Callithrix jacchus: one gene and its partner. The protein of the gene in region 2 purifies or fractionates together with the protein of the main gene of each other region. This does not show direct contact. Links are inferred from orthologs where the notes say so. Each region holds a gene or a part of one and is shown on either strand. Other genes may lie near its edges. The genes, in order: GTF2H4 and CDK7.

Region 1 (4,242 bases), on a different chromosome or scaffold from region 2:
GAGAGAGAGAGAGAGAGTGAGAGAAAGATGGGGGTCTCACCCTGTCGCCTAGGCTGGCGCAATCATAGCTCACTGTAGCCTCCAGCTCCTAGTCTCAGGTGATCCTCCCGCCTCAGCCTCCCGAGTAGCTGAGTAGTCATGACTCTGAGCCACCTCACCAGGCTGCAGGCCAATTCTTAATCTTGCCAGGCTCCGGTCTTCCAGTCTATAAAGTGGGAATAATGGAATTTGCTTATAGAAATTTGGGGAAATGTGTAGTTCTGGCTTTGGGTGAAGACCTCTGTCTTTCTCTGTAGCAGGTTCATAAATCAAATCAGAGCAAACAGCTGATGTCTTAAAAACTGTATTTATCAGGGTCTTCTAAGAAAACGGTTTTAGGCATGGTAGAGGCAGAAATTAAGAATTATTGAGTATTTAGGGCCAAGTAAGGCGCACTGGATGGTGTTGTTAACTTGTGGAAACCGTCCAGAATGTGTATACTTTCTTCTCTTTCTCTTTCTTTCTTTCTTTCTTTTTCTTTCTTTCTCTTTCTTTCTTTCTTTCTTTTCTTTCTTTCTTTCTTCTTTTTTTTTGACTTTAGCTTTTGTCGCCCAGACTGGAGTGTAATGGCACGATTTCGGCTCACTGCAACCTCCGCCTCTAAGGTTCAAGCGATTCTCCTGCCTCAGCTTCCTGAGTAGCTGGGATTAAAGGCGCCCGCCACCACACCCGGCTAATTTTTGTATTTTTAGTAAAGACAGACTTTCACAATGTTGTAAAGGCTGGTCTCGAACTCCTGACCTCGGGTGATTTGCCTGTCTCGGCCTCCCAAAGTGCTGGGATTACAGGCGTGAGTCACCGCGCCCGTCCCGGAGTGTGTATTATCTCAATTTTACGGGGAGTAATTGTGCTCACGGAATCCAGTTTTGTGGCCCCTACCCCCTAAACGGCTCACCACTAAGTCGCCATGGCGCGCCTCCGCCAAGAAGCCCTCCAGGAACTTCTATTTTCCCCGGACCCGCCTCCTGTTCAGGCCGGTTAGACGCGCCGTTAGCAGCGTGGGCGGAGTTGCTTCTGCCTTCGCGGAACCAACTGGCCTGACTTCTGGTATCTCCCGCTCTCTAAATTAAAAGCCAGCTCCTCTCCTTTTGGCTTCCCAACGGTGCCTTTCGGGATTTGTAGTCAGACGCGCTTCAGCCGGCTCCAAGGAGAGCAAAGACAAGACTCCAATTCCCAGCATACCCCGCGCCGGGAGAGTGCAGCGCCTATTCTCATCCTCTTCACTCTTCCACTCCTTCCCTTACCTCCCTTCTCTTCTGAATTCTCCATTCTAGGCTCTTGTCTGTGAAATCTTTTGTCGCTTTCCCCATCTTTCCCTGGCATTTTTTTTTTTAACCATCTTTCCCTCAATCTCCGGGAGCCAATGAGAGACTTTGGCTCCGATTAAGCGACTGCCCGAGACTCGGGGTGCACGAGGAGGATGGACAGAGTGGTGAGGGGACCTAGGAGGGTGGGAGTGGCATAGCTGTGAGAGAGAGAGAGGTGAGTGAGAGGCGAGGTGTGGGAGGAAGGCAGGGAGAATCTAGGAGATCGGAAGGCGTGGGTCAGCGTGAATGGGAAGGGAAAAGAGGTGACTTCAGATTTGGGAAGCGTGAAGGGGAGAGGTTATCGTCATAGCAGAAGTGGGCTAAGAGATAGACGATAGGGAGGACGGGCAGATTTGGAGCTTATTGACTGATCTGGACCAGGAGAGATGGAAGAGAGAGGTGTGGGCTCAATTTTCTTTGTCCCTGTTTAGCCAAAGATGAGACAAGTCATTGAATACAAAATTATCTTGCAAACATAGGACAGTTAGCAAGTCTGTCACTTGGTAATTGAGGGAAGACTGGAGTTGAAGGGCAGAAGTAGGGTGAGGAGACCAGAAACGGAGAGAGATTGGTCAGATTTGGAAGAAACTAGAGATAAGTGACAGGGGAAAGTAAGCCACAGAAAAGGTGGGATTATTGTGGGGGCTCATGGATCTGGAATCAGAGTTAGAAAGGTCAGGGGTGACACTGGCATGGATGGTGGGGGTGTGCCTCTGACGTTTGCATTCCTCAGGTGATGGAGAGCACCCCTTCAAGGGGACTGAACCGAGTACACCTACAATGCAGGAATTTACAAGAATTCTTAGGGGGCCTGAGCCCTGGGGTATTGGACCGATTGTATGGGCACCCTGCCACTTGTCTGGCTGTCTTCAGGTGAGGAGCCCCATGGCAAGGAAATGTAATGGGGTCTGCAGATTGGAAATAAATATCATGAGTAAAAGCATAGCAGTCTGGATTGGGGGTGGGGACTGGGGGTGAGGGTTGAAAATTGCTCCAAAGTGTGGAAGGCCAAAATAGCAGGACTGGTAAAGCTGTGGTGGAGTGAGATGAGATGTTTGAGAGGTAATTGAGGGCAGAGATGCAGATACAGTGCAGCTTCTGAAATTAACCTTTGACCTCTATCCCTATACAGGGAGCTCCCATCCTTGGCTAAGAACTGGGTGATGCGGATGCTCTTTCTGGAGCAGCCTTTGCCACAAGCTGCTGTAGCCCTGTGGGTGAAGAAGGAATTCAGCAAGTAAGTCTCAGCCAGATACAGATTTCTCAACAGCAACATTTCCCAAACTGCTGTTTCTTGGAGCACTTCCAGGAAATATTAATAGATCACAAAATTTAAAAATAAATACATTTAGGAAATGCTGCATACTGCGTTTTCCCTTTTATTTATTTCCCAGCTGACTTCTTGTTTTCAAATGTATCTTCCCTCTTAGTTATGTGTGTTATCAGCAATGAGGCTCTGATAGGTAATGCAGTAAAGGCATTTGTCTTAAGATACTGATTTCACTCTGTGAAACAGTAGTTCAAAGATCAGCAAGTTCAGAACAGGCAGGAATGGTAACTTTTATGGGCCTTCTCTTTGTTCTCCAGACACCCCCTCTCATCTCTTTGCTTCTATTCCAGGGCTCAGGAGGAAAGTACAGGGCTGCTGAGTGGCCTCCGGATCTGGCACACCCAGCTGCTCCCAGGCGGGCTCCAGGGCCTTATCCTCAACCCCATTTTCCGTCAGAACCTCCGCATTGCCCTTCTGGGTGGGTATGTCACTTCTATCTCTTCCTAAGCTAGGGAAGGGAAACTGCTGCTAATTAAACTGCTATTAAACTTTGGGAGGGGGAGCTTATGGGGGCCTCCCTGGAACCTTGTGGTCTCTACCTTGGGGAGCTCCTTTAGGAATAAGTTGGACCAGATGTAGCTGTGTTGTGTAGGCAATGTCCCCCAGTCATGGCCCCTGAGGATAAGGGTGGAAAGATGGCAGAAGGACAGCAAGGAACACAGACAGAGTTCCTTACTCTTTTTTTGTTTTGTTTTGTTTCTTTTTGAGATAGAGTCTTGCTCTGTCACCCAGGCTGGAGTGCAGTGTCACAATCTTGGCTCACTGCAATCTCCACCTTCTGGGTTCAAGATATTCTCCTGCCTCAGCCTCCTGAGTAGCTGGGATTACAGGCACCCACCACCATGCCTGGCTAATTTTTTGTATTTTTAGTAGAGATGGGGCTTCACCATGTTGGCCAGGCTGGTCTCGAACTCCTGACCTCAGTGATCTGCCTCCTCGGCCTCCCAAAGTACATGGATTACAGGTGTGAGCCACCGTGCCTGGTCAGAGGTCCTTACTCTTGGCCCATCCTGGCTCTAGGGGGAAGGCCTGGTCTGATGACACAAGTCAGCTGGGACCAGACAAGCATGCCCGGGATGTTCCCTCCCTTGACAAGTACGCTGAAGAGCGATGGGAGGTAAGCACTTGGGACTTAGCTTCTACCTCCTATGGCCCTCGGGGCATGGTCTCCCTGTTCTTTCTGTTCTTCAGGTGGTCTTGCACTTCATGGTGGGCTCCCCCAGTGCAGCTGTTAGCCAGGACTTGGCTCAGCTCCTCAGCCAAGCTGGGCTCATGAAGAGGTAAGGAAGTTAGAGGTACAGCAGTTTGCTGCTGTGCCATCTCCTTGAGTCTCTGAGAAATGGTATCTCGGGTTGGTCAAGATCAGAGGACATCGTCTGGAAAAAGCAAGCTGAGTAGAATATAGCCAGAGATACCCAGAAAAAACATGAGTGGACAAGTGGGTATAGTAGCCTTTCTCTGCATATCACCATCATCGTCCTGCTCTTTGTCCTTAGTGCTGAACCTGGAGAGCCACCCTGCATTACTTCTGCTGGCTTCCAGTTCCTGTTGCTGGACACCCCAGCC
Region 2 (3,814 bases):
ATGCAAATTAGGCTAATTCTGGGCGACACGATAAAGATCTAAGAAAGTAACTCATTCCAACTTTAATAAAGACATCCATGATACAAAAACTCACTTTAAAAACTTCATCCTATTAAAATACAACCCAAATATAACAACTAGTATTTTTCTATAAGTTTCAAACTATACTCCCAATGAAAACAACTTACTAGATAATTAAATGTGGTCTCAGGTTTATTATGATGGAAATTATATACATAGAAGTATGAGCGAAAAGGCAACAAATTACTTGTCTTAAATTAGAAGAGCATGTGTACATATGGACATAAAAATAACAAAAATTTTTTTTAAAATTAGAAGAGTAATTCTAATGGTAAATACGCAGCATCCATCCATCCATCCATCCATCCATCCATCCATCCATCCATCCATCTATCCATTTCTATATACACATAGCATGTATTGCTAAAAAGAGAAGGCTTATACAAGCAAATGCATTAAACAATGATTTTGTAGCTGGAACAAACCTAAGGGGGGGGAATCTATTTTGTATCCTTAATATTACTGTACATTAATATGTTTCCATAAAGGCTTCTGATACTTCACTTTAGTCTCTCCCTTCATCAGGTAAAAATCACTGCACTGTGTTGTACAGTGCTCTGCTATAAGTTATTCTAGGCCCTCCAAATTTTTCATGAGTTTCATTGTTTTCTCCTTTAAATAGCAGTTGGTTTCAGTTTTTGAGTATCTTTCAAGCTCTTGTAAGCATACAATCATATCTGATTATACCATTTTCTGAATGTGAAAATGACCAGTATGCATACCCAGATTACATTATATAGGGAAGAAAAAATAAGCTGAATAAATTACTTTCAGCATTAGGCTTGCTACAAGATTGAAATGAATTTTTAAGAGTGCAACTGAAAAAATAAACAGTTTTCAGTTTCTTAACAAATAAAAAGCCTTGGTTTTCCTTTCCTCTCCAGGTAAAGTATTTACAAACCAATTATATGAAATAGATATGTATTTATATGTTCCTAAGCAAGTGTATTAAGTGTAAGCTCTCCTATATCTCTGTGTGCATATAACTTAATCTCAGTCTTAACAGTGTTTGCTGTTTGGGGAAAAAATACAAAGTTTGTTATTTCCTAAAACAAACAAAAACACATCTTTTCCAGTATTTAAAAAAGGTTAATTTTATGAAATTCTATTTTTATCAATGCTACAGTTAAGATTATTTTTATATTTCCTAGTATAAAAAAAGATACGGTAAAATACCTGTGTGGCCGTAATTCGAGCACATGGATTAAATAAGAATAAGCCTTGTATGAGATCTAATAAGTCGTCTCCTGCTGCACTGAAGATATGATGCAATGGAATTCCAGGAAAACTCTTAAATGTCACATAATCTGGAAGACTACACATGTCCTGTAAAAATAATTTTATAATTCAAACTGAAGGTTGAAATCCATGTAGATCTCAAATGAAATAAATCGTATTTTCAGGTGATATGATGGTTTATATAGAAAATTCCAAGAAATCTATTGAAAAGTCCTAGAACTACTAGTAAGGCAAGGCTGGAAGGATACAAAATGAAAATTAAACCAATTTTAATTCATTATACTAGCAATGAATGTGTGGACATCAAAATTAAAAACACAGTACTATTTAAAATTACCCCAAAAAGAAAAATAATACAGGTGAAAAATGTAACAAAACATGTATATAGGGTAATATACTAGAAGCTATACAATGCTAATGAAACAAATCCAAAGATCTCAATAAATGGTGAAACATACCACGTTCACATATTGGAATATTCAACAGAGGAAGGATGTTAATCCCCCTCAAATTGATTTGCAAGTTAGATGTAATTTTTATCAAAATCCTGGCAAAATTATTTTAGATATAAGACCAATTATTCTACAATATATAAAGGCAAAGGACTACAGTAGCTAAAATTATTTTGAAAAAGAACAAGAAAGTGGGAGGACTCATACCTGATTTCAAGATTTAACATATAGCTACTTTAATTAAGACTGTGTTGTACTGGGGGAGAAATAGATACACAAATCAGACTTAGAAAGGACTTAATCAATAAAGGAACCCAATAAAAAAGGACTTAGAAATCCACACAAATCTGCCAAAAGGATTTTTGAAAAAAGTGAAAAACTTACCTCTCAGAAGTATCTTTTTTTTTTTTTTAAATAAGAAAGAAAAGAAAAGAAAAAAGTGAAAACTAAATCAATGAAGAGACAGTCTTTTCAACAAATAGTGCTGGAGCACTTGGACATATACAGGCAAAAATCTGAACTTGGCTGGGTGTGGTGGTTCACGCTTGTATTCCCAGCAGTTTGGGAGTCTGAGGTGGGAGGGTCACTTGAGCTCAGGAGTTTGAGACCAGTCTGGACAAGAAAGTGAGACTCCCACTCCAGCCTGGGCAATGGAGTAAGACTGTCTCAAAAAATAAAAAACAAAAACAAAAAACCGAACCTTGCCCTAAGTCTCACACATCATGTAAAAATAAACTCTAAAGAGATCTTGGACTCAAGTGTAAAACTACAAAACTTGTAGAAAAAAACACAAAAAAATTGTCATGGCGGGGGTGCAGTGGCTCATTGCCTGTAATCCCAACATTTTGGGAGTCCAAAGCGGACAAATTGCTTGAGTTCACGAATTTGAGACTAGGCTGGGCAACATGCAGAAACCCTGTTTCTACAAAAAAATACAAAAACTAGTTGGGCATTGTGGTGCATGCCTACAGTTCCAGCTACTCAGGAGGCTGAGGTGGGAGAATGGCTTGAGCCTGGGAGGTGGAGATTACAGTGAGCCGAGATCATGCACACCACTGCACTCCAGCCTAGACAATAGAGCCAGATCTTGTTTCGGAAAAAAAAAAAAAAAAAGCAAGAAAAAAAGTGGCAAGAAAATCTTTGGGTTGGGCAAAGAGTTCTTTGACTTGACACCAAAAGGATTGATCAATTAAAGAAAAAGTGACAAACCTGATTACAATTTTGCAGAGGATGAAAAGGCAGCACGAGGGAAAACATCTGCAAACTACACACACTTTTTGGACTACTATCTAAAATATACGAAGAGCTCTCAATACTCAACAGTCAAAAATCAAAGAATCCAATCAGAAAATGGGGAAAAGACAGGAAGAGCCATTTAACTAAAGATGGCAAATAGACACATGAAAAGATAATTTAACACCATTAGCCATTATTAGGGCAGTGAAAATCAAAATCAGAATGAGCTATCATGACACACTCATCAGAGTGCCTACAATTAAAAAGTGAACACCAAATGCTGGAGAGGATTCTGAGAAACTGGAGCATTCATTTACTGCTAGTGGGAATATAAAACAGTATAGCTGCTCTGGAGTTTTGCAGGTTGTTTTAAAAATTAGTATGTAACTACCATATGAATCAAGAACTGAACTCCTGGGCAATTTATCCCAGAGACATAAAAACTTATTCTTACATAAAAAACTGTACATGAATGTTTATAGCGTATTTATTGATAATAGTCCCATTGGGAACAACACAAATACAGGTGTCCTTCAATGGGTGAATGGTTGAACAAACTGTGAAATAAATCCACGCAATACTAGCCAGTTAAAAAAAAGAGAGAATGAATTTCCATTATGTGGGTATGAAAAAGTTAATCCCAAAAAGTTATATACTATGTGATTCCATTTATCCATTTATGTAACAGTCTTGAAATGACAAAATTACAGAGCTAGAGGACAGATTTAGTGATTGCCAAGAGTTAAGGAGTGGGTAAGAGGCAAGTGAGTATAGCTATAGAAGAACACCATGAGAGATTCTTGTGG

What was found.
Region 1: the proteins of CDK7 (region 2) and GTF2H4 purify together in Homo sapiens (affinity purification with mass spectrometry; 7 studies listed by BioGRID and IntAct, with this or other methods). This does not show direct contact. The link is inferred for Callithrix jacchus from reciprocal best matches to the Homo sapiens genes CDK7 and GTF2H4.

The regions. Positions count from the first base shown.
Region 1 is NC_133505.1:35,702,123-35,706,364, forward strand, and holds the start of GTF2H4 (general transcription factor IIH subunit 4), read left to right. Parts: upstream 1-1,269; 5' UTR 1,270-1,459; coding exon 1,460-1,471; exon of another isoform or gene 1,472-1,609; intron 1,610-2,079; coding exon 2,080-2,219; intron 2,220-2,478; coding exon 2,479-2,583; intron 2,584-2,966; coding exon 2,967-3,098; intron 3,099-3,696; coding exon 3,697-3,793; intron 3,794-3,867; coding exon 3,868-3,956; intron 3,957-4,172; coding exon 4,173-4,242. UniProt on the Homo sapiens protein: Component of the general transcription and DNA repair factor IIH (TFIIH) core complex, which is involved in general and transcription-coupled nucleotide excision repair (NER) of damaged DNA and, when complexed to CAK, in RNA transcription by RNA polymerase II.
Region 2 is NC_133503.1:140,272,103-140,275,916, forward strand, and holds part of CDK7 (cyclin-dependent kinase 7), read right to left. Parts: intron 1,408-3,814; coding exon 1,258-1,407; intron 1-1,257. UniProt on the Homo sapiens protein: Serine/threonine kinase involved in cell cycle control and in RNA polymerase II-mediated RNA transcription. Cyclin-dependent kinases (CDKs) are activated by the binding to a cyclin and mediate the progression through the cell cycle.